4 linked regions of the Arabidopsis thaliana genome follow. The protein of the gene in region 1 interacts with the protein of each later gene in a pairwise test. Each region holds a gene or a part of one and is shown in the gene's direction. Other genes may lie near its edges.

What was found.
Region 2: the proteins of CSP3 (region 1) and AT3G09690 interact in a two-hybrid assay, tested with the Arabidopsis thaliana proteins (one study listed by BioGRID).
Region 3: the proteins of CSP3 (region 1) and FLA16 interact in a two-hybrid assay, tested with the Arabidopsis thaliana proteins (one study listed by BioGRID).
Region 4: the proteins of CSP3 (region 1) and AVP1 interact in a two-hybrid assay, tested with the Arabidopsis thaliana proteins (one study listed by BioGRID).

The regions. Positions count from the first base shown.
Region 1 is NC_003071.7:7,761,994-7,769,073, reverse strand, and holds CSP3 (cold shock domain protein 3), read left to right. Parts: upstream 1-3,797; 5' UTR 3,798-3,892; coding exon 3,893-4,798; 3' UTR 4,799-5,546; downstream 5,547-7,080. Other genes in the region: AT2G17880 (Chaperone DnaJ-domain superfamily protein), read left to right, coding at 1,416-1,898; AT2G17860 (Pathogenesis-related thaumatin superfamily protein), read left to right, coding at 6,056-6,813, 6,990-6,996.
Region 2 is NC_003074.8:2,968,435-2,976,735, forward strand, and holds AT3G09690 (alpha/beta-Hydrolases superfamily protein), read left to right. Parts: upstream 1-3,378; 5' UTR 3,379-3,582; intron 3,583-3,739; exon of another isoform or gene 3,740-3,849; 5' UTR 3,850-3,921; coding exon 3,922-4,336; intron 4,337-4,594; coding exon 4,595-4,786; intron 4,787-4,883; coding exon 4,884-5,123; intron 5,124-5,237; coding exon 5,238-5,455; intron 5,456-5,553; coding exon 5,554-5,808; intron 5,809-5,894; coding exon 5,895-6,158; 3' UTR 6,159-6,409; downstream 6,410-8,301. Other genes in the region: AT3G09670 (Tudor/PWWP/MBT superfamily protein), read left to right, coding at 1-383; AT3G09680 (Ribosomal protein S12/S23 family protein), read right to left, coding at 763-903, 986-1,112, 1,206-1,361, 1,853-1,857; AT3G09700 (Chaperone DnaJ-domain superfamily protein), read right to left, coding at 6,660-6,816, 7,238-7,416, 7,703-7,705.
Region 3 is NC_003071.7:15,056,353-15,064,023, forward strand, and holds FLA16 (FASCICLIN-like arabinogalactan protein 16 precursor), read left to right. Parts: upstream 1-3,410; 5' UTR 3,411-3,506; coding exon 3,507-4,785; intron 4,786-5,399; coding exon 5,400-5,458; 3' UTR 5,459-5,770; downstream 5,771-7,671. Other genes in the region: AT2G35850 (uncharacterized protein), read left to right, coding at 401-643; AT2G35880 (TPX2 (targeting protein for Xklp2) protein family), read right to left, coding at 6,852-7,193, 7,274-7,381, 7,476-7,547, 7,658-7,671. UniProt on the Arabidopsis thaliana protein: May be a cell surface adhesion protein.
Region 4 is NC_003070.9:5,395,244-5,404,379, forward strand, and holds AVP1 (Inorganic H pyrophosphatase family protein), read left to right. Parts: upstream 1-3,682; 5' UTR 3,683-3,871; coding exon 3,872-4,133; intron 4,134-4,331; coding exon 4,332-4,906; intron 4,907-4,993; coding exon 4,994-5,373; intron 5,374-5,473; coding exon 5,474-5,560; intron 5,561-5,641; coding exon 5,642-5,972; intron 5,973-6,102; coding exon 6,103-6,513; intron 6,514-6,594; coding exon 6,595-6,654; intron 6,655-6,735; coding exon 6,736-6,942; 3' UTR 6,943-7,276; downstream 7,277-9,136. Other genes in the region: ATPC2 (ATPase, F1 complex, gamma subunit protein), read right to left, coding at 7,386-8,546. UniProt on the Arabidopsis thaliana protein: Contributes to the transtonoplast (from cytosol to vacuole lumen) H(+)-electrochemical potential difference. It establishes a proton gradient of similar and often greater magnitude than the H(+)-ATPase on the same membrane.

The DNA.
Region 1 (7,080 bases):
TTTGTATGTACTTTTTTTGGTGTTTAGAAGTTTGAATGATCAAGTTAGGTTTAAGTGGACTATCAAAAGAGAGATAGCCAAATGATAGTAAACTACATTTTCCGTCTTAAAAAAAAAAAAACTAAAAACACACTAATTAATGTTACAAAGTTTAGATATTTGTTTAGATTTTTTTTGCTATGAGATATTTGTATGTTCTATAATGTATATTAGTATATACATATGTAAACATAAACCTATACTTAATAATATATCTCTAAAATGCATAGAAAAGAATAAGATAAATATAATAAGAATATATAAATTTAAATATATGTATATATAGCGCTAGAAAATTAAAGTTTTAAATAAAATATCTGGTTTTCATTATTTAACACGATATGAAACAAATTTATATATAGATTTTAGACCGATGTCCCTAAATTGTAAAGTCCATATATTTTAGTTGATGGTTGAGGGGATCCTTCTCCCTTTTGATTACTAATCAGACTAATTGTTTGGTGGTTAGTGTAATTATTTGTAACACTAAACTTCTAAAAGCTAATTATGCAAGGCCTCTTGTTGTAACAATAAACAACCTTTAACAATAAAAATCTCAGAAGACACAAAAGAAAAAAAGAAGTCCATATATTTATTTAGTCCATATATTTCATACATATTGTATCATGATTCTATAGTGTCTGTTTACATTTTATGTATCTTTAAATTACACTGAATGGTTAAAAAGATACCGAATGGAAAATGAATGTATCTTTTTGGTATCAAAATATGAAACATCGTTGTCCTTTTAACTTTTCATATTTTTATTGATCTTTCCAACAGTATGGGTGATATTTCATATTAGTTAATAATAGTTACAACTTTAGTTAATAAGTAACTATCCGATTGAAACAAAGTAGATCAGTAATACAACTATATTTACCGATTTCTTCCGGATATTCGCTTAGGGATAACATTTAATCGAATGTTTTAAGTTTCATGAGTACCAAAACAAGAAAACAAATAATAACAATGTGAATAATAATGTTATCAAGTTTTGTTATATGATACCAAAAATAGAAAAATTTGGTAGATGACAATAATAACTTCATTGCCACTCTCAAGTTCGTTCGTTCGTTGAATCTTATCTCACTTCTCCCATTATTTACAACTGTGGATAAGCCTTTTAGTCTGACTCAGCTTTCTCAAGATCCGAAAACACACTGACCCAACCCGGTTCGATTTTGCTTAACCGGACAAGATACATTAATCTGCCTAATCTTCAATTATTTAAAAGCTAACTAAACGTTATACGTACTAATCACTTCTTCCCCTATAAATAAACCTTTCTAATTTCTCATCTCAAATCACACTGCATCACAAAACCCAAATCGGAACTTAAACCAAAAGACAAACAAAAACGCCGTCGTTTCACGATGCTTTCTTCTTCCCCAACCTTCTTCGCTACTCCATTTCTCTCTTCTTCTTCTTCTTCTTCTCCGTCGTTCTCTTCTACTTCACCACCGTCACGCATTTCCCGGATCTCGCCGTCGCTTTCTACAACCACCGCGTCCTACACCTGCGCCGAAGATCTACCGAGATTACGCCAAATCCCGCAGCGATTTTCAGCAACCGCGTCTCTCTACGAGATCCTTGAAATTCCCGTCGGCTCGACGAGTCAAGAGATCAAATCAGCTTACCGGCGACTAGCCAGGATCTGTCATCCCGATGTAGCGAGAAATAGTCGGGATAACTCGTCGGCGGACGATTTCATGAAGATCCACGCAGCGTATTGCACGCTTTCGGATCCCGAGAAACGCGCCGTTTATGATCGGAGGACTCTTCTTCGGAGCCGGCCGTTAACGGCTGGATACGGCAGTTACGGTGGACGGAATTGGGAAACCGATCAGTGCTGGTAGCGAGTTGACTCGATGTGTCGAGTTGGTCCAAAACCATTGAATTGGTTGTAATTAGAGCAAACCCAGAGATTCTGGGTGGTTGTGCCACGTAGGATCAACACGGTTTATCGTGCCACGTAGGATCTGTCGCGTTTTTAGCCTTTGTATCCATAAGTAGTAAGTAGTCTGTATTTAGTATTTACCATCTAATAAAGAAAATAAAAATTTATGTATAACTTAAAGTGTTCCAACTTAGCAATCAATAGTATGTAGCCTTGGAGAAACAGATTTTTTTTGTTACAGGTAAGATTTACATACTGAAATCATATAGCATTCTTAGAAAATTTTAGTTGTATTATGTTGTAGTCACCTAATTTAAAAAGCTGGGAGTGTTTTTTTTCTAGTCGCACAATCAGCCGACATCGACAATAAAAGAAAAGAAGATCTATGTCAAATAGTAACAAAAATACATAAATACATATATATGTAAAGATTTTAATACTGTTGCGGTGCGGTTTTGGGTGTGGTCTATGTTACCATTCATGGTCTTAGTCTATCGAAAGTTCGATAACGTTGTTTGCCTTGGTGGCAGTGAATTTTTTCCTGTCACGCGACTGTGAAAAGAGTAATTTTTAGAGACGTTACAATCGCATATCGTGAATTCCGATGTATGTGATATGTGTATGTGGAGGGTTACTGAGAGTTTTTTCTATGGGCGTTATAAACATTTTTAGTTTGAACGTTGTGCAATCAACTAGGTATGCATGCATGGGTTAATTTTATGATTCTAATTTTTTTGGGTAAAAGTTATATAAATAACGGTATTTCAAAGAGTTAACATTGGGTCAAATTTCTTGCTCAGAATTTCAGAGTTATACTAACATGACGTTTATGATGATAATAATTATAGTCAATTTAAATTGCCTTCACCAGGGCCACCAAAATAGCTAAGCAAATACGACAGACAAGGTTCTTTTCTTCTCGTCATCATAATCCATGTGTCACTCTTGTTTCAACATGCCATGTTCTGGAACATTTGCATCTCACGAATCTTTCATAATATTTACAAAAAAAAACTCATATTCTTTTCACATATATATAACTATTTTAAATGTGAACAAAAAAAAAGTAATTATAAATTCACTATTGTCATTAAAAGAAAAATAAATAAAAAAAGGAACTCTTGTCATTTTCTTAAGTATAGCATTGTCATGACAAAAGCTATGCTGTCCATAAACAATGGGAAGCAGAAGATTGTTGATGTTCGACACCATACATTATCAAAATATATAATATATATATATATATAATAGACGATAGATATCCAATAATTAGTTTAAGTAATTGGGATGTTCTTTTTTTCTTGCTTCTAGAAGAAAATATGATCGAATCATTTTTTTCTTCACAATTGAACTTCGGATAATATCATCCATGTATTGGTTCATTGAATTAAAAAAGTGAGCTGGGATATTGAAAATTTGGATGCAAAATAAGTTGCATAAAAATAGATATAATATCAAAATATAATATATTGTTTAGATAAAACAACCAAAAGTGTGAAACACTTTCTCTTCTAGTAGAAGTATAACATAATAATCTAAATCATGTCATATTTACTTTAGATTTACTATGAATATCCCTTTCTTTTTGCAAAAAGTGATAATTATAGACTGCATTTTCATCCAATTCCCAGAGTTTGGGGATGGTTAAGAGATGATAAAACATCTCAAGCATTTTTTTTAAAGTTAGTGTGAAATCAAACCTTATCAATTTTGCTTAGTTCTTTTGAAACTCTTACATAAATAGGCCCATTTCATTATGTGAACCATGGGCCTGATCCAAAATGCACACGTGGTAACTGCCGCCGATAGAGAAGGAGCTGACGTGGCGAATTTAAGGTCAATTTGGGGTTAATAGATCTAGCAAGTAGCAATTTAGGGTTTTCATTTTACCCATTTCCTCTCTTTGTACGAACAAAGTGCTTCGAGTTTTTGTTAACCTTTTTCTCTGATCTAATGGCGATGGAAGATCAATCGGCGGCGAGATCTATCGGAAAAGTTAGTTGGTTTAGCGATGGAAAAGGCTACGGTTTCATTACTCCCGATGATGGCGGCGAAGAGCTTTTTGTTCATCAATCCTCAATTGTCTCCGATGGATTCCGTAGCTTGACTCTTGGTGAATCGGTTGAATACGAAATCGCGCTTGGAAGCGACGGAAAGACTAAGGCCATTGAAGTTACTGCTCCCGGCGGCGGTTCACTTAATAAGAAGGAAAACAGCTCCCGTGGATCCGGAGGTAATTGTTTTAATTGCGGTGAGGTTGGTCATATGGCTAAGGATTGTGACGGTGGAAGTGGTGGGAAAAGCTTTGGAGGTGGTGGTGGTCGTAGATCTGGCGGCGAAGGTGAATGTTACATGTGTGGTGATGTGGGACACTTCGCTAGGGATTGTAGGCAAAGCGGTGGTGGAAACAGCGGCGGAGGAGGAGGAGGTGGTCGTCCGTGTTACAGTTGCGGTGAGGTTGGTCATTTGGCAAAGGATTGTCGTGGTGGTTCTGGTGGAAACAGATACGGAGGAGGTGGTGGTCGTGGATCTGGCGGTGATGGATGCTACATGTGTGGTGGTGTGGGACATTTCGCTAGGGATTGTAGGCAAAACGGCGGTGGAAACGTTGGAGGTGGTGGAAGCACTTGTTATACCTGTGGCGGAGTTGGCCACATTGCGAAAGTTTGCACCAGCAAGATACCTTCTGGTGGTGGTGGTGGTGGTCGTGCTTGTTACGAATGTGGAGGAACTGGCCATTTGGCTCGTGACTGTGATCGGAGAGGAAGTGGAAGCAGCGGAGGTGGCGGTGGCAGTAACAAGTGCTTCATCTGCGGCAAGGAAGGTCACTTTGCGAGGGAATGTACTTCGGTTGCTTAACAAAAAGATGCAAAGAAGAAGAGTAATGTTCATAAACCTCTTTTGTTTTCTATTAAAATCTACCTAATGCTCCTTTTTGGTGACTATAATGTGATTGCTAAAGTCGTTTAGGATGTTTAAGAATGGTTGTTTTGGGAGTTTTTGATCTCTCTATATTACTCTTTTGACTGGTTTATGCAACCTGTTCACTGCTTTTGTTGATGCCATAAGTTTGAGATCTTGAATGATATGTGTGCTTGCTTATTTACAGTTTCTTGTCTTTCCTTGCAATGAGTGTGATTGTATGACTTGAAAATTCAATCTGTTATGGTCACTTCTGTTATATACCAAGATTTGAGACTTTTTTTTACTAACTTGTAAATACAAAGAGATGAGTCACAAGTCTTTCTTGGTTCCTCTTTGTTGGAGAGCTTAAAGATTTTCCTGTAACTGGTTTACTTATACTCTGCATTGCTGTTTTTCTTGTTCTTGATGAAACAGAGATATTAGCTTAAGAATAATCTTTTGATATTTTAGATTACTTAGATCTTGTTTTAGGAGAATCTCCTGAACAGAGGAGAGACATGGTGTGCGTGATCTTGTAGTGCCTATGCCTGTTCGTCAGTTCGTGGTTTCTTTTTCTCTACTTACCGTGATGTTTTAAGAAGATGATGAAGTTAATCCCGTTAGTTTTTTTTAACCTAATTACACTTGTGATTAGCTGAATCTTTCGGATATAAACATTTGGATCCCACGTGTTCTGTTATTGGAAGTGACTTGATCTTTCTTAACATATACAAAGACAAGCTTCTAATGTCCAACACCTCCTTTATTTCCGTTAATACAAAATCCCACCAATTCCAGTACAATTAACTTACTACACAACACCATACATGTCTCTTTCCTATCAAAGTCTTTAAACTAAATAACTTTTTCCTTAACAAACAAAAGAGAGCTTTTTCCTCCTCTAACCTTTATCTAAATTTCTAGTTTTGAATTTAGGAAGAGATCCTCAACAAATAGTTATAAAAAAAAAATGTATAATTTTCGAAAAGGATAACAAGTATACTAGCTTGATTCGTAATTTCCATTTCACAAGTATTAATGAGAATATTGAAATAAAGGAAATGATGAGTGAACATGTATCGGATTCTGTAATGGCAAAACTCATATAGGGAAAATTGATATTATGAAACTTTCCATAACACAAATCCCCGATTCTCTTATATAAACACGATCCCTAACTTCTCCTGAATCATACAACATCAAACGGTAACAATGGATTTGGCTAAAGTCTCTTGCTTTCTCTTAGCGATTATGTTTTTCATCAATGGTGGTTCCTCCACCACGTTCACCATCGTTAACCAGTGTAACTACACCGTCTGGCCGGGACTTCTCTCCGGCGCCGGCACCGCTCCATTACCCACCACTGGTTTCTCCCTCAACTCCTTTGAGTCACGACTCATCTCCATACCCGCCGCTTGGTCCGGCCGCATATGGGGACGCACGCTCTGCAACCAAAACGAAATCACCGGAATATTCACTTGCGTCACCGGCGACTGCGGCTCATCCCAAATCGAATGCTCTGGCGCAGGAGCAATCCCTCCAGCTACACTAGCCGAATTCACACTCAACGGCGCCGAAAATCTAGATTTCTACGACGTTAGCCTCGTCGATGGTTACAACATCCCAATGACGATCGTTCCTTACGGCGGAGCTATCGGAGTCGGTAAGTGTAACGCAACGGGTTGCGCGGCGGATCTCAACGGCTTATGTCCGGAGCAGCTGAAAGTAACGGTTGAAGCGGCTGGAACGGGTGCTGTGGCGTGCAAGAGCGCTTGTGAGGCGTTTGGAACGCCGGAGTTTTGTTGTAACGGCGCGTTTGGAACGCCGGACACGTGTCAGCCGAGTGAGTACTCTGTTTTCTTTAAGAAAACTTGTCCGACGGCTTATAGTTACGCTTATGACGACGGCACAAGCACTTTTACTTGCTCCGGTGCTGATTACGTCATCACTTTCTGTCCTTCTCCTTCAAGGTAATATTTTTGCTACTGAATTTACTAAATAAGGAAAGTAATATTCGAAAAATGTTAATTTTAGTGTTTTTTGGTAATTTTAATGAATCTTAGATTATTCAAAATTCATATTTTGGAAGTTTTGTTAACTGTTTTATATATTTTTGTTGTTGTTGTTGTGTTTTGAATTAGTGAAGACTTTGAGAAGAGTGTGTCTCCGCCTCTGCAACCGGAAGCAGTTAGCGTCTCTGACGCGTCAAGTAGAATCTCAGTTGCGTTATCATTGGT
Region 2 (8,301 bases), on another chromosome or scaffold:
TATCAGCAAGAGAAATTTCTCCTTCAACTACACTTTCAAGCCCTCACGCTGCTTCTGTTACCAAAACCACAAGTGGGAAATCCAATTCTGTCAGCCTAGACCACAACCTATCCGGAGAACTTGATCAGGTCAGAAAGGAAGCTCCTAGTACTAACCTTGTGGAGGACCCGATGTTGGAGTCTAGAGACTTGAAAGACTCTTCTAAGGAGCAGGTCGTACATGAGGATAAGAAAGAAGCTGCAAATGTAGCGGATGAGAAATCTATTATGGACAGCAATCTAACCGGGGAGAAAATCAGTGGCTTGGACTTGAGAGAGCAGCCGAGTAACAAGAACTGCTCTGGTGGATCTGATAGTTGCAAGGAAGATGTTTCTGCAGAGTAGGAAGGCTCAGCATCAGCGTCTAACCCACTAATACAGATCTTTCTAAAATCGAGTCCGGTTCTTGTTAGTACCCAAGAGTGGAATATACCTTTTAGATGGATTCTCTTCTCTTTCAAAGTTTAGAATTGTATGATTTAATCAGAGTTGAACAAACACTAGTGAGAGAATGTAACAAAGTTATTTTTGTTTTTCCAGATTTGTGCAATTTAATGGTCAATAATTCATTTGAATCCAAAACTAATTATGAATTTGAATAAATAAATTAGAATCCAAACAAAATTAACCTCAACTCGGAGGAAAATAGAATAAGAGATGTCACTGAATAAGTACATAGACATGCCTTCAAATATCAAAAAAAATTCATAAAATGTAGTAGAGCTCAAGACCTAGGCTTCTCCTTCTTTTCCTTGAAAAGGGCCAAGAGTGAGACACCAGAGACCTTCACCACTTTGAACCTAACTCCGGGAATATCTCCGACGGCATGACCTTTACGCCCAAATCCAGCAATCAACACCTCGTCCTACACACAGTATCAATGAATGAGTAATTGGTAAGAATATAATTTGATTACTCATTCAAAAGTAGATGTCAATCTAACTTACATTTTCTTCAATGTAGTTCAAACAACCATCATTGGGGACAAAGGCAGCAATCTTTTTACCATTCTTGATCAACTGAACTCTAGCACACTTACGGATAGCAGAGTTAGGCTGCTTAGCCTCAATACCACTGCATAATCAAACACAGAGTCTCATCAAAGTCAAGATCTATACTACTAACAAAATCAAGAAATGGTAAATATATATGTTTATACAAACTTACATTTTCTCAAGAACGATTCCTTTAGCGTGAGAAGAACAAGCAAAAGGCTTCTTCCACTCGTTGCCTCGATTAGACTTCTTGTAATGCTTGTCCGCCCACCTCTGAGTAATCCGAAGCTGCTTAAGCTTGCGACCAGCTCCCATACCACGTGTCTTACTGAAGATATTCAAATAGAAGATAAAAGAAATTGAGAACCAAAGGACATTTCATCAGATGAAATCAACTCACTCAGAACATATAAAACAAATTCGGAGTTGATAAAGAACATAAAGTTATAATCTAAATCACAAATACTTAACACAAGAGGAGAGTGTAGTAAGGAAAAAAATCAAAAATCATAATCATAATTTCCACATTTCAGACCAAATAACTCCAACGTTTATAAGAAAAAACTACGAATTATAGCAACTTCGTAGCTTCAACAGGGTGATTAACAAAGTATTACTACACGACGTATGAATGTCATTCAAATCCCTTAATTCAACCATCCCGACCCGAGATAACGAAAACGGCAAGGCACCAAAGAGAAACCGGAATAAACAAAAAAAACATAAAACAAATCCTAAACCCGACATAACAAAAACACGATCACTTATAAGCGGAGAGATGAGACTGAAACATAAAGAGTCTAAGAGAGGATACCGTACCCCATGTTGACGACGGCGCGAGTGAAAAAGTCGAGAGATGAGCTGAAACTGCTAAAGGCGCGACGTTTTAAGTTCGTGAGAGATTGAAAAACCCTAGTGATAAGAAAATAGGTATATATAGGCTTGGGTCAAGACTCGTGAGAGCCCTGGTTTAGGCATTAACCGGTCTGCAATGAAATTGATTAAACGGCAAATGATTATTTTTATATTTGGGCTTAACAAGAAGGCCCATCACATGTCAACCCAAATATTATGCCAACTCCTTAAGGTAATAATACGGGAAAAATGTCGTTTTATACGTGAACTTTAAAAAATGGCCATTTAATACGAAAATTTTTGTGTGGCCAAATAAAACATAATAAAAACGTTGACCGGCCGTTTCACACAAATATTATTGTTGACTACGCCAAAGTCTCCATGCCGTTATCTTTCATTAACGGATCCGTTAATTCCGTTAACACATGTTAATTAGTTTCCGTCAATACTCAAAACGACGTCGTTTTATTGAAATCAAAAAATCAAAATTCCTAAAATTGATTTCAAAATCTCTAAATTCCAAAAAAACAAATCCTTAATTCCTAAATTCCAAAAATCAAATCCCTAAATTCTAAAAACCAAATCCCTAACAGCCTCTTATTTTCAGCAATTGGTCGTCGTAATAGTCATCGTCGTAAAGATCCTCAAGAGAGCTAAAGAAGGGCCTTCGCTTTGATGTTTCCTCCTTGTTCATCATCGATCTTGTTCCTCCCCCTTCGTGAATTCAAACGAACAACTGCTGTCAATAGTCGAATGTTATTATTCATATTCAAATTGGTTCTCATGTGTGTGTGTTCGTAACATTTTATTCACAAGACAACAAAACAAAAACAGGGAAACTTCCAACATGATGAAATAAGATTATGAGAGTGAGAAAAGAACCTTGGACAACGGGATTGAGATTCCTAAAGAAGAACATGATGTTGCCATGTGAAGCAGATGGATTGAAGAAAAATGAATTGGATTCCATTTTGGAATTTAGGGATTTTGAAATCAATTTGGGAATTTTGATTTTTTGATTTCAATGAAATGACGTCGTTTTGAGTATTACAGGAAACTAATTAACGTGTGGTAACGGAATTAACGTATCCGTTAGAAAAAGATAACGGTATGGGGATTTTGGCCTGGTCAACAATAACATTTGTGTGAAACGACCGGTCAACATTTTTATTATGTTTTATTTGGCCACACAAAAAATTCACGTATTAAATGGTCACTTTTTGAAAGTTTACGTATAAAACGACATTTTTCCCGTAATACCGTATACGCTGCATTGAAACATTCCAGTCCTAGTCACGTGCACGGTGCACCTACTAGCCCACGACTCCCACACTATCCGCCACGTCAGAAAACGAAACCGGTTGTAGCAGGTAAAAGGCACACAAAGCTAAGCATAAGGAAGCGCGCGACACGCACCGGTTCAGCCGGTACTCTGCGTCGATAAACGACATGCAAGACCGTCCATTTTCTTAAAAAAGCGATCTTGATCTGACGGTCCTTATTTGTTTATTCAACCGGTAAAATACAAAAAAATCAGGAAAAGGATCGTGGATCGTCAATGGCGGACTGGAGTAAATTTCTTTGACAATAACCAGTCCTAAATCAAGGTAGAATATTGCAAAAATGTTCAATGGAAGAAGATAGATTGGTGACCATGATTATCAACGACGTCTAAGCTGTTTCTGCGTCATTTGGTAAGTGAAGCTTTTGTCTCTTTCGATTTCTCTAATGCAAAAAAAAAGGGAGAAAGATTTTGATTCGTTATTGAAATTATTCTCTTTGAGTTATTTTAATTAGAAAGAAGTAATTTTTATATATATTTGTCAAGAAAAAAAGTGAGCTTGAAGTTCACGCTTGTAAAGGTGTCAGTTTTGCAGCTCATTATCGCCATGTTCTTCTCTCTCGCGCTCTTTGTGTTTTCTTCTCTTTGCTCATAAGAACCCACTTTAATGTATGTTCAGGTCTTCTTCTTCTTCGTCTTGTTGCTCTGAAGAGTTGGTCCTGACTTGGGATTTAGGGATTTCGTTTTGATAATGGAGGAGATGCGAAGAGGAGTGCCTACGTGGCAAGACGAGTTAGCTAGTCTCATGGACGGAGGTTTACAATACGACGGATCTCCGATTGATTTGACGGCGGATACTGAATCGAGGTCAAAGAGTTCGGGTTTCGAGTCGGGTTCTGGATCCGAATCAGTGGAGAGTTTGAAAGATCAAGTGACGGGGTTTATGAAGTCTTGGGGAGAAATGCTTATGGATCTCGCAATCGGATGCAAAGACGTTGTGCAGCAGATGGTGGTGACCGACGACTCTTTCGTTGTAAGGAAGCTCCGGAAACCAGCTGCTAAGGTTTCGAAGAAGCTTAGCTTCCTTAACGAGTACTTGCCTGAGGATCGTGATCCTGTTCATGCTTGGCCTGTGATTTTCTTCGTCTTCCTCCTAGCTCTCACAGGTATATTATCAAACAGTTTTCTGGTTTTGGATCACCATTATGTATCTGCAATGCCACACTCTTATAATGAACAGTTATTCAAAATGTCTGCTAGAAAACTGTGTATTGGGATGAACCTTATAGAATTTTTTGAGGTTGTTGTATGTAGTTAACTTGATTCTGCTTAGATATTGGTTTAAGTGGCAGTCTTGAATAGATTCTCGTTGGTGCAAGAGAGGCTTGTATCCTTACTCTGACATATCCAACTTTTAAGTGCAGCATTGAGTTTTAGTTCAGACCATGATAGATCTGTCCCTTTGTTGAAGAAAATCCGTCTGCATCCTACTAGTGCAAGCCGTGTACAGCTTCCAGATGGTAGATATTTAGCTTACCAGGAGCTTGGTGTTTCAGCTGACAGAGCTAGACACTCTCTAATTGTTCCTCATTCTTTTCTTTCCTCTCGGCTTGCAGGTATGATCAAATAAGCTCCTTGTTTCAGCTTCAGCTTACTTTTAATGATGCAATTACATCTGATTTGCTTCTACTGTTTCAACATTATCTTATCAAGGTATACCTGGAGTAAAAGAATCATTGCTCAAGGACTATGGTGTTCGTCTAGTGTCATATGATCTTCCAGGGTTTGGAGAGAGTGATCCCCATCGTGCTCGGAACCTTAGCTCATCTGCCTCGGATATGATTGACCTAGCTGCTGCTCTAGGGATTGTTGACAAGTTCTGGTTACTCGGCTATTCCAGTGGTAGTGTGCATGCCTGGGCTGCAATGAGATATTTTCCGGACCAAATAGCTGGTACCTTCAATTTTTTGGATAAAATTTGAAAATTCACAATTCATGGCCAACTCATGTTTTTCACAGAATGACACAAAATAATATGGGAAGGTATTGATTTTTATAAATCTACAGGAGTTGCCATGGTAGCGCCTATGATAAATCCATATGAGCCAAGCATGACAAAGGAAGAGATGGCAAAAACGTGGGAGCAGTGGCAACGAAAGAGGAAATTCATGTACTTCTTAGCACGTCGGTGGCCAAGTCTTCTTCCTTTCTCCTACCGTAGGTCCTTTCTCTCTGGTAATCTCGAGCCGCTGGATAAGTGGATGTCAGTGTCATTAGGAGAAAAGGTAAGTCTGTATTCATCAAGTGTTTCTTCCCAAGGTTTTGAGTCTTTGTGAGTTATGGCTCACAAGCTAAACCTGTATACACCACTTTTCTATTTCAGGACAAACTTGTAACCGCAGATCCAGTTTTTGAAGATCTTTACCAAAGGAATGTGGAGGAGTCTGTACGCCAAGGAACTGCAAAACCATTTGTGGAAGAAGCCGCATTACAGGTATCAAATTGGGGCTTTAGTCTTCCCGAGTTCCACATGCAGAAGAAGTGTAGAACCAATGGCGTCCTCTCTTGGCTAATGTCAATGTACAGTGAATCCGAATGTGAACTAATTGGTTTTCGGAAACCTATACACATATGGCAGGTTTGTTGAAATCACACTTAAAACCGCCATCTACAAGATCACCTTTGTCAAGTTGTGAGTTACTCATTTTGCTTGTGGTCACATAGGGTATGGACGACCGAGTCACTCCACCTTCAGTGACAGATTACATTAGTCGAGTCATACCAGAAGCAACGGTACATAGACTCCCAAACGAAGGCCACTTCTCTTACTTCTATCTCTGTGATGAGTGCCACACGCAGATCTTTTCGGCCATATTTGGAGAACCAAAGGGCCCGGTAGAGTTATTGGAACAAAGAACGGAAACCCATAGACCGGATCAACCAAAGACAGGTTTATCTGACAGTAGCTCACTACCAAAGAGTAAGTAAAAAAGAACTATAGGAACACGTTGTTCTTGGTCTTCGTTCCATTATGGAGAAATGTGTAAATAACACCAAGAAGATGATTTAGTCCTCTGCTTTGGTTGAAGATTTCAGATTCTATAGGTTATAACAAAGCAGAGTTCATTTTGAGAGTACATTTGGCACTGCAAAGAGTGCAAGTGAAAGAACATTTTATTAAAGCGGCTATCCCTTAATTGGAAATGCAATATTTTTTTCTTCTTATAGTTTTATGTTTGAACAAAACCAGAATCCGACTAGACTCATTTTCAGTTTGGTTTATATATTTCTCACGCTGAAAAAGTTAAATACCCACGTTATACATCATCATGATAAAAAAATGAACTAGACCAATAACTTGGAACTACATGGCTTGATAGGATCAATCAATCTAATGGTTATTGCTTAAAGAGAACGATCTAGACTAACTACTCGAAACTAGGCCACATGGCTTTGTGGTTGGGATCAATCGACCTCACCCAAAGGGTTTCAAAACGCAGAACCAGAGTTCTTGGTTTTTCCAAGCATCATGTCTTTGGCTTCATTGATCTTAGACGCAAGGTAATGGCTTCCTCCTGCATCTGGATGATTAGCCACCATCACTCTACGGTGAGCTTCCTTCACCTTCTCTGCCGCTACACTCTCCCTATTCAAACACCACAAGTGACAAACTCATCAAGCCATAATAATGTCGCAAAAACCACCACTAAACATATGCAAACCATTTACCCTTGTGTAAGAACATAGTTTGGCCCCTATGCAAACTTGTTAAAAACTAGTGTGGCATACCTACTGCCTATAAATGATCATTTACCAATTCTACCAAAAATGAAAGAGTCAGAAAGAAACTCCCCTATGACTAGCCAAAGATGAAGATATATTTAAGAACAGGAGGAGTCCCTCGAGGAGGACTAGTGTGAGAAACCATACCGCCTATTTCAAATCATTTACACAGCGGAGACTTTACAAAACTAGCAGAAGAGAAACCTTATTTAAAACAAAAGTCCCAAGACCACTAGTATCATTTGTAGTGAGAGGCTAAACTCTAAAGACAGAAAGAAAGGTACCTAACACCGAGAATTAGAGCAGCTTCTCTTCGATTCATAGTAGCTTGGAAACCACCTTCATAGAATTTTCGCATTCTAGGCCTAACTGGTCTCAGCTTAAACGCTTGCCATGCCTCTATTCCATATTTACCAGCATAAGCAGCAGCAGCAACAGCAGCGCCTGCAATTATCGCTGCAACCTGGAGAGCATACGAGAAGCGAAGAATATTATTCCATACGTCAGACAAGATGAAACAGAGTAAACCATAGAAAAAACACTCTGATACTGACACAAACCCCAAACACAAATGAGCAAAAATAAAAGCAGAAGCTCTAAAAAAGGAGGATTCTTTTAGAAACCCTAATCGAATCAAAGGGATGCTTTGAAATATCATCAAATCATTTTTCCAAAATCAATCAGCAAAAACAGTAAAGAGTGGAAATTGTAGAGAACCCCGAAAGAAGAACATACGCAGGCAAACTTACCATTGTTGTAGAGGATTTGAGCTAGACAGTGTACTGAAAATAAACACGATCTGATCTGATAGGAAACAACTCTTCAGTGTTCGATTTTGTCGATCAATTTGAGGATTAGGGTTTTAGCTATTTCCTGGTTTGCTTGGACTTGGCCCAGATAGGTTGGTTGCGTTGCGTAAATAGTAGTCGAAACCTTCTAACTCTTTTAGTGGGTTTTAGATTTCTTTCGATATGGAAAAAAATAAAAACAGAACCGGTTTATTTTCTCTTGGATTCGGTTTTATCAAATCAATAATTTTGGTATGGTTTAAATTCGGATCAGTTACATTTAGTTTGCATCCATTAGTACTGAGAGTTGTGTATACTCTTTATCTTTCAAAAACTTGGTGTTAAAATCTTGAATAGAACTAATAGAGAGTTGAGAATGAAGAAGTAGTTGGCAACGTCAACAAAATATGCGTTTCACTGCCAACACGATCATAATGACACAAGACTACAAGAGAGTTCTTCAAGTTGTAAGTATTATTCTAGTTTTCTTTAATATATGAAAGAGTGAAATAAACAATAGAGAGACTTACACTGCACAAATGAATCAACGTAACACTTTC
Region 3 (7,671 bases), 7.3 Mb from region 1:
CCTAGTAGACAACCTCAAATCGTCTTAGTTCGTTGCTATGTTACGAAGCCATTAGTATTGTTTTAGTTTTCATATTTACATTAGTCCAAATAGTCAAAGTTCGTAATTTGATATTTTAAAATTGTTACTAAAAACGTCGACAGAAGATTACAAATTCCTACAAAAAAAAAAAGTCCACCAACCATTAATTTCAAAACCTTCCACTTCCACGCCATTATTTATTTTCTTTTGTTCTTTTTCAAGTTTCAACTCTCCTCTATAACTGTTTCATAAGTTGGAAAAGAAGAGAGTTATTAATTTCATCACAATGCTTCCCTTCCTCGGAACTTCGATCATGTCAAAATATCTTCTAATCTCTTTCTTCTCTCATCTAAATTAACAGCAACAAAATCTCAAGAAGATGGAGAGCTCAATTGGGTTCATGACAGTCTTCGCCGTCTCTGGAAGCGTGGTGCTTCTTGCAGCTCAGCTTCACAAGCGTCTCCTCTCTGGTTACATGGACAAGCTCGAACCTCCTACTAAGGAAAGAAAGAAAAAGAAAAAGAAAGTGAGCTTTGCAGAAGATATGGTGGAGCCGTCAGGGAACAACGAAGAGTATCGCCGGAGTTTTCGCAAATCATCAAAGTTGGAGGATGAAAGATGAAGTCAACATTCAACACATGAATTTTTCTGTGTATTTGTTTTCCTTATTTGGTAAATATTAAGTGTACACCGCTCTTCACAAAATTAGGAGCTAGACCGGACCACATACCCCATTCCATGTCTTTTTTTTTTTATTATGCCAAGTTGTCAATGGACGTAGATGTAGATGTGTTGTTGATGTTCTCATTCGTATCTCGAGTAGCGTATAATTAGTACCAGCCAAAATTGGTACACTAGCGTATTAATTAGAACCAGCCAAAAGAAAGATTCAAGATGACGTAGTACTTGGGCTTTTGGTATAAAGCCCAGGCAGATTTGGAGTTTACATTTTTGGGGAGAACATATATTTAGCTTCTTTTTTGTTTTTTTCTCCAACAACATGCATTGGTTAAAATATGGATTATGACTTACAACGATAGTAATACAAATCCTGGTCGATTAACAATCTAATAGTCGATCAATCATCACTGCTAGAAACAGTGCCGCCTAACAGTACCCCTGAAACCATAAATGGGTTTCTAGTTAGGTAAACAATATAAATTAGTAACTACAACATACCAATGTAAGGACGTGAATTTATATTTGTCCTATCAATCTTTAATTTTATAAGAATGAATTAGTATGAATCAATGGTAAATTAATTGCAGGGATACTTTGATTAATAATGTCATATTACAAGATCTTCATAATATCTCGAATGGCCATGCATCTCGCATCTACCCTAAAAGTTTATATACAATGCATGCTTTTTCTCAATTATTGTCAAATTTATATTCTTTCTCTAATAGAAAAAAACCTTTTAAATCACCAATTGACTTTTCTTTTCGAAATAATGGAATCATATATATTGACACCTAATAAATTAAAATGATTAAGAAAAACTTAATAGTGAAGAATTCCGTTTCTGTTACGAGTGAGGAGGAGCTCTATGGCCAAATTTAATATCAAGAAATTGAAAATATTAAAATGAATACCAATAAATGTTTTTCTTCTCTATATAATGTTGGTGGGACTGACTGGGAACGGAGCTTCGAATCAAAGAAGAAAGCCAACTACCAAAGACAGTGTCGGTTCGACGGCGATGGCAAATCTAACGGCAGGAGAAACGTCGCCGTTTCAGATCATTTATTAACGTCGAAAACGAGTTTTATTAAAAAAATTATTTTATTTGATCCAAAACGAGATTTATTTTTATATTATCAAATCATACGTTACGACTTTTTACGCGCTTTTTCACCACACGTACCATTAGCAAATCATACGTTATGACTTTTGCGTAAAAGGTAAAAACTTGTTTTACATCTGTCTCACAAAACTTGTAACTTGTATATTCATTTTATTGATCAAGTAGATGTAGATCCCCATCACAAGATGTGTGTTTTATTCATTATGACGACATATTTATGTGTGATATATAGGATAAAAAGATAAAATTAGATTTATGTTGGATGTATTTGTCTTAAGTCTTTTAAACAAAGATTCTTGAAAAATGACACAATGTTAGATCAAAAGTTTTAATCGATACATTTAGACTAAAGACATCTTACCTTCCTTCACTGGTTTTCTTACAATGATTTCAATATGTAGTAAAATAAAATGTGTTGTTTATTGCTATATGAGACTCATGGGTCTAGAAAGTATAAACTATAAGTCATTTGGATAGGGGTTTCTCTATAATTTCACCCACGAAAATGGATTACAATGTAACTTCATTTCATAAACACTTTTAACAATGCTATAACATTCGACTATGTTTATCACCGAAGATTCACTTATTAGGCTTTCTTCTAGTACATCCAGAGAAAACTTCGCATGTGTTCGACTGGAGCAATTTAAAAATGAATGATTTTAAGCTAAGTAAATGATTTTTAGTATCTTGAGAATATGGACAAACAAACAAAAAGTTTGTAAAGAATGACAAAGAGGAAACCCATGAAAAAAAGATACAATATATGGAAGCTCACAGACGATGACGGCATGAGAGTTATTATGACATACAAACCAATCGATAAATCTTTAACAATTTACTGAAATATTTGACTAATAATCTTTTGGTTTTGGAATAATGAACCGATCGACCGTCATATAAAATATAAATGATTGGATCCACGTACGTTGGTGGCCGAGCCTCTGAAAACGAATTTGATTTATCTATTTTGCTAACTAATCACCTAACGTAGTTTTTGTGTCTCAATGGTTGTACAAAAGATAAAGTCTCAAGAATTTATTAACAAAAGAAGTGGCCACGAAGAATGGAATTTTGTTGTATCAATGAAGCATAAGTAGTACCATAGTATTTTAAAATTCGAAATGCAAATCAAATTTCAACGTGACAACATATGTTGTATAATAGTTAATCATAGTAAATAGCACACATTGCAGCTAATAATTGGATTTACAATTGTTTGAGTCGTACGTTTTGATCTGTTGTTTACAAGAAAAAATACAAAGATGGAAAGTTCTAACTTCAAGTGAAGTTCAGATATCGACCGAGTCAGAACACGACACGAGGCTCGAAGACAGAGGCATAGTGCTGAGTTGTTCAACAGAAGCAAGTAAAAACCTTTTGTCTGAGAGAGAGGCTCCGAGTTAGGCATAAGCCAAACAACTTGACACGACACATAACCTTTGCTTCTCGTGTAGACCCAACTTTTTACCCTTACCAAAAATATAAAATAAAATATGCAAAAAACACACCCACTCAAAAATTAAAATTTTAATGAAAGAAAGAAGAAACTTCACATCAGCATCAGAATCTCTCTTTCTCTCTCTCTCCTTCTTCACAAGCAAAAAAACACCAAACCATTTTTCTTTCTTCATTGTGCCGACACTTCTTTCCCCTCTCTCTCTCTCTCTCCACCGCCATGGATTCCTCCTATGGCGCCACAAAGTTCCTTCTCCTCCTCTTCCTCACCACCTCCATTGCGACCGCATTACCCGATAACAAACCAGTACCGGGTCAAATAAACTCAAACTCAGTCCTCGTAGCTCTCCTGGACTCTCACTACACAGAGCTAGCAGAACTAGTCGAAAAAGCTCTCCTTCTCCAGACCCTCGAAGAAGCAGTTGGTAAACACAACATCACAATCTTCGCACCACGCAACGATGCCTTGGAACGAAACTTAGACCCACTCTTCAAATCTTTCTTGCTCGAACCAAGAAACCTCAAATCTTTACAATCTTTATTAATGTTCCACATTCTTCCTAAACGAATCACTTCTCCTCAATGGCCTTCTCTTTCTCATCACCACCGTACTCTCTCCAACGACCATCTCCACCTCACCGTCGACGTCAACACTCTTAAAGTAGATTCCGCTGAGATTATCCGACCCGATGACGTCATTAGACCCGATGGTATCATTCACGGCATCGAACGTCTTCTCATCCCTCGCTCTGTTCAAGAAGATTTTAACCGCCGTCGTAGTCTCCGTTCAATCTCCGCCGTTATACCAGAAGGAGCTCCTGAGGTTGACCCTAGAACTCACCGTCTCAAGAAACCATCTCCCGCCGTTCCCGCCGGAGCTCCTCCGGTTCTTCCAATCTACGACGCTATGTCACCAGGTCCTTCCCTAGCTCCTGCTCCAGCTCCCGGACCCGGTGGTCCACGTGGCCATTTCAACGGCGATGCTCAAGTTAAAGATTTCATCCACACTCTCTTGCATTACGGTGGCTACAACGAGATGGCTGATATACTCGTCAACTTAACCTCTTTAGCCACTGAGATGGGTCGACTCGTGTCAGAAGGCTACGTTTTAACCGTTCTTGCTCCTAACGACGAAGCCATGGCTAAGCTCACAACGGACCAGCTTAGCGAGCCAGGTGCTCCTGAACAAATTATGTATTACCACATCATACCGGAGTATCAAACAGAGGAGAGTATGTACAACGCTGTTCGGAGATTCGGAAAAGTGAAGTATGATTCATTGAGATTCCCACATAAAGTGTTGGCTCAAGAAGCTGATGGATCTGTCAAATTCGGACACGGTGATGGTTCAGCTTACTTGTTTGATCCTGATATCTACACGGACGGTCGGATTTCAGTTCAGGGTATTGATGGAGTCTTGTTCCCGAAGGAGGAAACGCCGGCGACGGAGATTAAACCAGCTGCTCCGGTCGTTAAGAAAGTTTCTAAATCAAGAAGAGGTAAAGATAAATTTTCCATTTCTTTACTCTTTTTGTTACGATTATTTTTAGACGCTAATTATTCGGTCAATAAATATTTGACATTGACATCTAAACACAAAAATTCATCATTGTTTTGTGTCATTGAGTGTCAAAAATTCTTATTCTAACATTTATTAGTTTATTACTGTACTAAACTTTATGTGTGGAATGAAACATTAATCACATAGATTAGCACTTAGCAGCCATGAATTTGGTCGTATAATGAGAGTAGAAGTAAGAAAACATGTGGGATTTGGAATAAAGTAGAGACTTGTGAGAGAATGAAGACAAAACTCTCTTAACAAATTTTGTTTTTTAATATTCCGCTTACTTTTATTCTTTTTAATTCTTTAACCCACCGACGAATAATCCCATATTATCATTAAATTAAGGAAAATGATTTTTATTTGTTCTTTATAAAAGACAAGCTGTGATTGAGACACATTGGTTCGTTAACGACAGCTTGTCTAAATTTTCACTAAAACCCAAACCAAACTCTTTTTTTTCTGGTCTTTTGGGTTTTGTTTCTAATCATATATTCATTTGCACTTAATCATTGATTAAAGTTACTGATGATATGATAATATATGCAGGTAAATTGATGGAGGTAGCTTGTAGAATGATGGGGTCACGGTTTATTCCGTGTCAGTGATTTCACACGTTATCAAAAAAAAATTCCAAGCTTCCAAATTCTTAATTCTGTAAACATGTGGAAAAAAAAAAGAAAGAGTTGAATATGTAAATGATGTGATTTTTGGGTTCGTTGTTATTTGCATGTTCTATTTGTAATTTTTTTATTATCATAAATATATATATATATATACGTAGATTTTGATTAAGTTTGTTATTTGGGGGTGAGTAAAAAAGTTCTAGGAGTTTAGAGAAATCAAATATGTAATACAAGTTATACAATCTGTATGGAAATAATAAAGGAAGGATCCATTTGTGTGCCTATTCTATTCTATTCCATTCTCTCCTATCAATTATTGATATCTAATTCTGTAAATAGAAAATGTCTGTCACATATTTGTTGCATATAAAATGTGTGATTGGAAATGGTAGTTGCAATGTACATAATGGTATACATCAATTAGCATAATGTACATTTATTCACCTTGGTCATAAAGTCAGCGTATTTATTTATTCTTTGCAAAAAAATTATAACAATATTCTTGTGTGTAACCAACCAAACACAAAGGAGAATTAAGTATTCAGATCAACAGTAATTAATTGGGCATATTACATATAAACAGCTAAATTTCACATGATTAAACTCTTTGGAGAACTATTTGCTTTTTAAAACAAAAAAGAACTTTTCTATGTATGTTTTACAGCGAGATGATGAATGATATATTTCACAGCCTAGGACACGAATCTTTAATGTTACTATTAAGACGGTGAGAGAAGATATTACAAGAGTAAGTGGGCACTGGCCACGAGGGCAGGTGAGCTGTGGTGTGGCTTTTGTCCTCATGTATTAAAAGCCTGATTCTCTCTAGTCTTTTGCAAATGAATGTATCACTAAATTCTTTCTCTGGAATTTCACAAAACTATCTAATAGTAAGTCAAAGTCAAACGTTATGATGTGTTTTGATATTACAAAAGGTGAAAAACTAATCAAGGAATTACAGTATTTCAAGTTTGTGAAATGTAGATCTAAAGCATGATCTCATATTCACCACAAAACATGTCGCAAATACGGAATACCCCACAAGGATCGATATTTGTAGCTGACCTTAGTAAACCTCAGCTGTAAATAAAGACCCCACTAGCCTCTCCTTAGACATTAATTATTTGCACAACTCACCACTGTTATACACTTCAAATTCACACATATCTATGCTCGTGATACATATTTGAGTTCAACACATTTGAGACCATCTTAAGAAGCAATCGAGGCTTAATTTTCCAAAAAATAAACTGAAGGAATGAAGTATAAACTCTTAAAAAAGTAGACGCAATGCAACAACTCTATTCACATTAATGCTTTAAGAAAGAAAAAAAGAAGCAGACATTAGACATCGCTGCTGAATGCTCTCTTTGCTTCAGCCTCCCACTACAACCTCACTCGCCATTATCTCAGCCTTCACTTGGATGTTATTGGAGTTTGGTTTCTGCTCTTCAGGTTTCGCAGCCACGGCAGTAGCCTTCTCTTCTTCTCCTCTCTTCTCTGCTTCTTCTTTCTTCACTTTCTTTTTCTTTTCTTTGGCCTTCACTGATTTCTCTTGAGTTTCAAGCTTTGGCTGAGACTTTGTTATTGGTTTCTTCACTGTAGATGATGATGAGTCTTTTGGTTTTGTCACGCGAGGAGCGGCTTCACCTCCTGTTGCATCACTGCTACTCTTTCTGCGTCCTAGCTTTGGAGACTTAGGACGAGTAGTTGGTATCTGCAACATTTTCATGGAGCACGGTATAAGAAAAATAGTGTAGCACAAGTTTGATCACATAGGAAGAGAAAGAAGCAAACCTTCTTCAATTCAACCTTAGGTGGGGGTTCTTTGTAGAAACTGGGCATGGGACCAGCCTTGAACGTCAAGCTCTTCCTCAACCTTTTGATCTCTTCTTCCTGGCTCTCCTAAACAAACACAATCCATTTAACCCAAAAAATGACAAATGTCACAGACCAATAAGAGTTTTCTTCCATTATAGAAGAGTCTTATAAAGCTTACCTTTGATTTCGCCTGCAAATTGGTCTTCTCTACTTCCTTTGCATGGATCTTCTCTTCTAGTTTCATATAAAACTGAAAGGTAAACCCGACAAAGGAGACACAAGTTAGGAAGAAACAAAAACTTACTTGAAAAAGTTAGAATGAAAATGTTGTAAGAATAGAGAATGAGAATTAGCAGCAACCTCCTTCCGTTTTT
Region 4 (9,136 bases), on another chromosome or scaffold:
GAGCGGTTTAGTTTCTTGCTTCGAGGGTCTGGTTATTGTTTTCCCTTGAATCTCTCTCTCTTCTTTTCTACTTCATTCAGATCATTATCTAATTGTTTTGGGATTCTTTTTTATTGTTCATTCGACTTGAATCTCTCTGTTATATTTTTACTTCGATCATTATCTATGTAGCTCGTGGGTCTTGCTCTTAATAGTTTTTTTGAATCTCTTTTGCTTCCACACATACGACTGGATGTCGGAAAGAGAGAGAACCTTCTCCGCCGTCACAGCGACCGCAAAAGAGATCTCAACCACCGGCAAAGATTCCATCGATGTCGCATGCACGAAACCGATCACCGAGACACTTTCAAATTAATGAAATTCAGGTCGGCGAGTGGAGTCAAGATTCTTCCCTCATCGAAGGTCTCAAAGCACGAATCTATGGAGGCTCAGATAAACTAGTATGGGAGTTAGACCATAAACGAGCAAGAAAAAGGAAGATAAAGATCGTTTTTGGTAACGTTTCCTCGATGCAATTTAGCGCATGCTCAAACATATGCAAGGTTCAGAGACAAAAAAACAAAAAACAAAACAAAAAAAAACAAAACTGGACACTTATATATTGAAATCATTTTTTTTTATAAGAATAAACACATAAAAAACATCATTTACAAAAAATAAAGGATTTAGCCCAATAAATCATTTTTTTTTTGAAATTGTTGGTGTATTTAATCAACAAATTTACAAAAAGAAGAATTACGTTAAGCTTTAAAGAAATACAAATATATATGAATTTATATTTAATATTATTTTTCTTCTTTTTTCTTATACTTGAACATATTTTTTTTTTATTGGCGATGCTCAAAGAGAAAAAAAATGTTTGTGCTCCCTTTGGTTATGGGCCCCTGGTTCTTAGAGCTGATACTAAGAAAATGTCACTAAATCTCAAATATTTGGGTCAAAGCCCATATATGGTCAGATAGAGGCCCATTCAAAAGGTCTGAGATATGGAGGGAGCCGGGAGGAGTGGTCTAGTCTAGATATAAATAAACGAATAAAATGGTTTGGCGGGCATTTCTTCAAATGCCAACGAATCTCGAATATTCCATATATTACCTGTCATTTCCCTTTCTCTGATAAACTACATAACAAAAACAAAAGAAGAAGAGGGACAAACATTTTGGGGTTTACATCAGAAAAACAAGCTGTACCTATTTCCAATTCCGAATAAGATAATTAGAGTTTAATTAACCCTAATAGATTATTTTAGTTTCTTTTTACAAAGTTGTTAACTATGATTCTGGCATGAGACAACTGAGAAAACATATTGCTCGGACTTGTGTCGGTGAGACCCGAATCAGAAGAAATTGTTTAGAGGGGAAGATATTGAACGTTGGATCAGAGGGACCCATACAACACACCCACCAATCCAAGGGTCGCGATCTATTTGAGGTGGCAAATGGTTCCCACTTACCCGCAGGAATATTATGGGACCGCTCCTTAACTCTTGCAATGTCACTTGTTGGTGCATCCCACTCTTCTCTTCCTTCTTCTCTCTTCAAGATAAAGCGATAACATAAACAAATGATTATTTTTACAAGATTTGATTTGCTGCCTATATTACTCCATTATGCAATATAATAAAATACTAATATTCCAGATCTTTATACGGTTTTAGATACCAATAAATATCTGACACTGAACTAAATCGATAAAAAGTATAAATAAAGCACCATATGTTATTAAAATATAATTCACATAAAAAATATCAAATAATTCATAGATTTGCCTATAAGCAAATGACTCGTCCGTGACTGTTAAATGAAATTAATCGGTACAAGTTATCTATGGAAAACAGTTCAACTATTTAACTATATCTTCTACTACAGTGTCTTTTTCGTTCTAATTGAGTAATTCATAAACGTTTAACTAATTCGATTGATACTCATCAACGCCTTATAGCATTGTCAATATACAACTATAAACATTGAGATGTCACCAAATTTTGGTGAGGCTAAATAGAAAACATTATAATTACGACGACGACGATAATCTAATCATATATCATGGAAAGTCACAAATCTTACCGTGTAAAATCATTCGCCTCTTTCTAATTCAATTATTGTTTTAACTTTAATTAGGTGGATTGGTTTGAATTCTACGTTTACCACACCAGTCACCACTTGGATAAACCTTTAGGCCATGAATGATATTATATAATTTAGAAAGAAATGGAAACTAAATCGTGATTGAAAGATAAAAGTATGTCAGCCACAAAACTAGGAAAGATTTCCTTTACATGATAATAATTTTTTCGAGATTCATTAGCAACCTGCAAAAGGGAACAAAGATAAAGCATGAGTGGTCACTAGTACTCACTGAGTACCCAAAAAAAACACAATTAAATGCTAAGAAAATTCCACAAAATAATTTTTTGGTTAAGATATTTTATTTTATATATAAAAAGGTATTTATCCGATTGGAGGGTTGCACACCATTCAATACACTTAATTACGTCAGCCGTTCGAAAAGGCCCTCCGATATATCCTCCTCTCTCACAAACTTCTTCAATTTTGTATTCACTGGCAATATCTATGTACGGTTTGGTGCACTGTATCTTCTTACACGACTGTCTCGTATCGTATGAAGATGAGATTAAAATGAAAAAGTATTGGAATCTAACCTAATCGAACAAATGCCAAAAATAATTTAGTACAACGTCGAATCGAATTTGTGAAAGTACTATAGAATCGATTCACATTAGAGACGAATACGAGTTTTTATTCCACTTTAAATTTCATCGTAAACTGAAAAGTTTTTTTTTTTTTTTTTTGCTTTGCATTTTTCTTTTTTGCTTTATCTGACACGTAGATATTAATCAGCACACGGATGTAGTTTTATCTCTTTGCCAAAAAAAGAGAGTCAAATCCTCAAATTTAATCCTACATAAATGAGAATTTTGTTATTGTTAATCATAGCTTTTACAATTATAGCAAGCATTTACTTTACCCCAATAAAGTTTATGGCAAGCATTTATATATCGTGGATTGGTAAATTAACAATTTTATACAGATGGCCTGTTTTAATTAAAGGGTTAGATTTTTCACTATGGCTTTCATTTAAACAATTAAAAACCCTGATATTTTAACTACGTATTTCCATTTATCCTAATCATGAAATTAATACAAAATGATTTAGGCTCTTAACTATATCTTCTTTTTTTATTGTTCAAAGCTCTTTACTATTTATCCATATTTGATAATATGTACACTGAATCCATCTTTGTAAAATAGGAAGAGAGAATTAAATGATATATTTTAGACCAAAATACACCCGATTTGGTAAATACTCAGAATATACCATATGGATCAGATAAATCATAATCTTCACCTAACTAAATTAATTTTCTACCACGAAGGGGGATTGACTACAAAACCCGAAAAGTACTAATCATGTACTTCCAGATCCGACGGCTAAAAACGCATCGATCAACACGTAGTAGGTGTCTTTCGCCCTAAACTCAACGACCAAGATGAACTCAAGCTTTACTTTGCTGTCGTGTCCGACAACTACCGGATAGATGAGGATGAATCTAAATTCGGACAAATAGAGCGTAGTCAACACGCGCGTAAATGAGTTCTGATGGTGTAGCGTAAAAACCGTGTACCCAACCGTACCGGATTCCATCTATCTTTCTGGATGGGAGCATCCAAAGAGAAGAAGGAGAGAGCTAGTCTTATATAACGACACGATATCCTCACCTATTTACGCCTCATTTTCTTCTTCACCTCTCTCTCTGTGTGTGTTCTGTGTTCTCTCTCTCGCGCGAAGCGGTTCTCTTTCTTTTGTTTATTTGTTTTTATTTGTTTTTCTCTTATACGGAGGAGAGAAGATGGTGGCGCCTGCTTTGTTACCGGAGCTCTGGACGGAGATCCTTGTACCGATTTGTGCGGTGATTGGTATCGCCTTTTCGCTTTTCCAATGGTACGTTGTATCTCGCGTGAAACTCACCTCTGACCTCGGCGCATCGTCTTCCGGTGGAGCTAACAATGGGAAGAATGGATACGGTGATTATCTAATCGAGGAAGAGGAAGGTGTTAATGACCAGAGTGTTGTCGCTAAGTGCGCTGAGATTCAGACTGCTATTTCCGAAGGTAAGATCTATTGATACTTTATTCAGATCTCACTGTTCTGTTTTTAGATCTGGCTCTGTTTTTTGATTGGTGGTTGTTTGATGATGTTTTGGATTGTTAGAACGTTGAAATTACTAATTCAGTATCTTGTGAAATCTGAGATGATGTGTGTTTTCTGAGTGAATAATATTGGGATCTGTTTGGTTGTTGTGGGGACAGGTGCAACTTCATTCCTATTCACGGAGTACAAATATGTTGGTGTCTTCATGATTTTCTTTGCTGCTGTTATCTTTGTTTTCCTCGGCTCTGTTGAGGGATTCAGCACTGATAACAAGCCTTGTACTTACGACACCACCAGAACCTGCAAGCCTGCATTGGCTACTGCAGCTTTCAGTACCATTGCTTTCGTGCTTGGTGCTGTTACCTCTGTTCTATCTGGTTTCCTTGGGATGAAGATTGCTACATACGCTAATGCTAGGACCACTTTGGAGGCGAGGAAAGGTGTTGGAAAGGCGTTCATTGTTGCATTCAGGTCTGGTGCTGTGATGGGTTTCCTTCTTGCAGCGAGTGGTCTATTGGTGCTTTACATTACTATCAATGTGTTCAAGATCTATTACGGAGATGACTGGGAAGGTCTTTTTGAGGCTATTACTGGTTATGGTCTTGGTGGGTCTTCCATGGCTCTCTTTGGCCGTGTTGGTGGTGGGATCTACACTAAGGCTGCTGATGTCGGCGCTGACCTTGTCGGTAAAATTGAGAGGAATATTCCAGAGGATGATCCAAGAAACCCAGCTGTAAGTACACCATTTCACTGTGTGATAACACTTTGCTTTCTTTTTTTCAATAGAAGTTAAGACTTATTTTGGTTGGTTATGTTACAGGTCATTGCTGATAATGTCGGTGACAATGTTGGTGACATTGCTGGTATGGGATCTGATCTCTTTGGATCATATGCTGAAGCATCATGCGCTGCTCTTGTTGTTGCCTCGATCTCATCTTTCGGAATCAACCACGACTTCACTGCCATGTGCTACCCATTGCTCATCAGTTCAATGGGAATCTTGGTTTGTTTGATCACAACTCTCTTTGCCACTGACTTCTTTGAGATTAAGCTTGTCAAGGAGATTGAACCAGCATTGAAGAACCAGCTCATTATCTCAACTGTTATTATGACTGTTGGTATTGCTATTGTGTCATGGGTTGGCTTACCGACCTCCTTTACCATCTTCAACTTTGGAACACAAAAAGTTGTCAAGAACTGGTAATTTCCTTGTGGATGATTGCTTTTGTTTTTTTCCTGCATTTCTCTATTCAAATTTCTCGTTGCACTTTTTTAAGTCTTGCATTATTTTGGATTTCAGGCAGCTATTCCTTTGTGTTTGTGTTGGTCTTTGGGCTGGACTCATTATTGGTTTCGTCACTGAGTACTACACTAGTAACGCCTACAGGTAAGACTCATTTTAGCTGTATTTAGTCACTAACTTTTCCCAGCTAGTAGAGCTAACTCTTATGTCCTCCTATTCTTGCAGCCCTGTGCAAGATGTTGCAGATTCATGCAGAACTGGTGCAGCTACCAATGTTATCTTCGGCCTTGCTCTTGGTTACAAATCCGTCATTATTCCAATCTTTGCTATTGCTATCAGTATATTCGTTAGCTTCAGCTTTGCTGCTATGTATGGTGTTGCTGTTGCTGCTCTTGGTATGCTCAGTACCATTGCCACTGGTTTGGCAATTGATGCTTATGGTCCCATCAGTGACAATGCTGGTGGTATTGCTGAAATGGCTGGAATGAGCCACCGCATCCGTGAAAGAACTGATGCTCTTGATGCCGCTGGAAACACCACTGCTGCTATTGGAAAGGTATGGAGCCTTCTTAACCTCTTTCTGCAATCCGATGAATTAATAAAAGAGCTTGCTTGCTTGAACCATTCCTCAGGTTGCCTTTGCTTGTGTTGTATTTTGACATGTTATTCTGGTTTGTTGTGTACAGGGATTTGCCATTGGCTCTGCTGCCCTAGTCTCCTTGGCTCTCTTTGGTGCCTTTGTGAGCCGTGCAGGGATCCACACCGTAGATGTTTTGACCCCTAAAGTTATCATTGGGCTCCTTGTTGGTGCCATGCTTCCTTACTGGTTCTCTGCCATGACAATGAAGAGTGTGGGAAGTGCAGCTCTTAAGATGGTTGAAGAAGTTCGCAGGCAGTTCAACACCATCCCTGGACTTATGGAAGGAACCGCAAAACCAGACTACGCCACATGTGTCAAGATCTCCACCGATGCTTCCATCAAGGAAATGATACCTCCTGGTTGCCTTGTCATGCTCACACCTCTCATTGTTGGTTTCTTCTTTGGAGTTGAGACCCTCTCTGGTGTCCTCGCCGGATCTCTTGTATCCGGTGTTCAGGTAAAGTATATTCTCAATTCAATTGTGAATAACTATTCTTAAAAAAAATGCTCATCGATGCTCTCTGTTTATTCTATTCAGATCGCCATATCAGCATCTAACACTGGTGGTGCCTGGGACAACGCCAAGAAATACATCGAGGTAATGGAATTTTCTTGTAGCTTAAATCAAACCATTTGAAAATATGAAGTCAAATCCTTAAGCATTGTTATATATTCGCAGGCTGGTGTATCAGAGCACGCAAAGAGCCTTGGACCAAAGGGTTCAGAGCCACACAAGGCAGCTGTGATTGGAGACACAATTGGAGACCCATTGAAGGATACTTCAGGACCTTCATTGAACATCCTCATCAAGCTCATGGCTGTTGAGTCTCTTGTCTTTGCTCCCTTCTTCGCCACTCACGGTGGTATCCTTTTCAAGTACTTCTAAACTCAATCCGAGGGAAGAAGATGACGATGATGAAGAAGAAGAAGATGATGATGGCGATCGATTCTAAACTTTCTTTTTTACCATTCTTATTTTCGTTTACCGTAGGTGGTTAAAAAACCTTTTTTGTTGATGAGGCTCATTTAAAGAACCAACCAAATGATGTTTCTTTCTCTCACTCTCTGTCTTTCTGTTTTCTTTTTGTTCTGTTTAGAATTTAGAAATCCACCAAGTATTCGGTCGAGACTTGTTTTAGCCGTTACTTTCTGCTGCTTATATTTCCTAAATTGGTTGTCTTCTTCGAGACATAATTGGAATTTATTGTTACTGTTAGTCTTTTGTCGGCGTTAGGTGTAAACGATTCTCAATTTCTCATGATCTGTAAATTCTTTCATGACATTTATTACCACAAACAACAAATGATTTTACACAGCTGTAGTTTCTACCTAAGACTCTCGAAGAGCTTCTGCTCCAGCCACAATCTCCAGCAACTCCCCAGTGATCTTAGCCTGTCTCGCTCGGTTATAAGCCATCGTCAGATTCTTCTTCAATTCAACCGCATTATCAGTCGCATTACTCATCGCATTCATCCTCGACGCAAGCTCACTCGCTAAAGATTCCTGCAGTGCTCTTAGAATCTGACTGTTGAGATACAAAGGCATCATTGCATCAAGAATCTGAACAGGGTCTTGCTCAAACTGCATCAACGGTGAGATCTCAGGCTTCTCAACTTCAAGCTTGGTCCTTTCCACAGCTAACTTCCCATCTTTGCTCGTTAGCCTAAACATCTCATCCTCGATAGCATCAACACACTCACCTTTCACATCACAAGACTCTCCTTTCATCGACAAAGGCAACAGAGTGTGGATCACAGGATCAGATTTCACCAAAGACACAAACTTTGTGTAAACAAGCTCAACTTTATCAACCTCTTCACTGACAAACAAGGAAAACACATCATCTGCAATAACTTGAGCTTCTTTAGTCGTTGGGAAAACACCTCCTCCTTCAATACATTTATCAACATCAAATTCATCTCTCCGACTAAAATAAGCATTCCCTTTCTTACCTACACTTATCACAACACAGTCTATTCCTCTCTGCTTCAACTCTTGAACTCGCAGAGTAGCTTTCTTGGTCACTGCATTGTTGAAACCACCACACAATCCTTTATCGCCAGTAACAACAACCAAAGCAACTCTCTTCACGGGTCTAACAATGCTCAGAGGAAAATCAATGTCTTCTAATTGAGCAGATTGGTTAATTGAGTAGAGAATCTCCACAAGAGTTTCAGTGAAAGGTCTACCCTTTATGACTGCATCTTGAGCTCGACGAACTCTAGCTGCCGCCACGAGTCTCATCGCTTCCGTTATCTTCTGGGTATTCTTCACACTGTCGATTCGTTCTCGTAACTCTCGGATTCCAGCTCGAATTTGAATTGAGGGCAACGGAGATCTCGACGAAATCCGGTTTGGTGTCAGTGATTGAAACGGATAATAACGAACTGGTTTCAAGGTAGCTATGAAAGAGTAGGACTCTGAGCTCGAAGCCGAATTCGAATTCGAAGGAGACGACAAGAGCCAAGAGGTCGAGATCGAACCTGTCATTTTCGTTTGGGAAAGAAGACCCTGAACTTGAGAGGTTTAAGATTTCATCTTCTCGTGAAGAAATGAGCAAAGAAAGAGAACTTGAGGGGTTTTCTGTAATTATCATGTTTATTAGGGGTCAGTATATAAAAATTACTACAAAAGTCAAAATTAGAGTTTTTGTTTTTTTTTTTCTATGAGAAAAACGAGGGAAATATCAATAACCCTCCTAAATCCTAATAAAAATTACTACAAATAGCCAAATTAATAGAAAACCAAAAAACAACAACTATAGTCAGCATATGAAAATTACGAAATTTTCTTTTTAAAGATTCATATATAGGAAGAGATTGAACTTTAAAGTAACAAATCAAAATAAAATTATGGACAAATAAAAACTCTAGTCCTTCAGAAAAAGAAATATTGTAAATGCGGGTTACTAAATACAAATGAATACAAAACAGTACCTACAAATTTCCTTGGAACGACTTTTAATTTTGACCTCAATTTTTTATTTCCATTATGGTCCTTGTGTTGTTGTGTATTTAGCATTTTGTTTTTCTTGGGTCAATCAGCATCACCACGTTTAGGCCACGACATAAAATTGATCC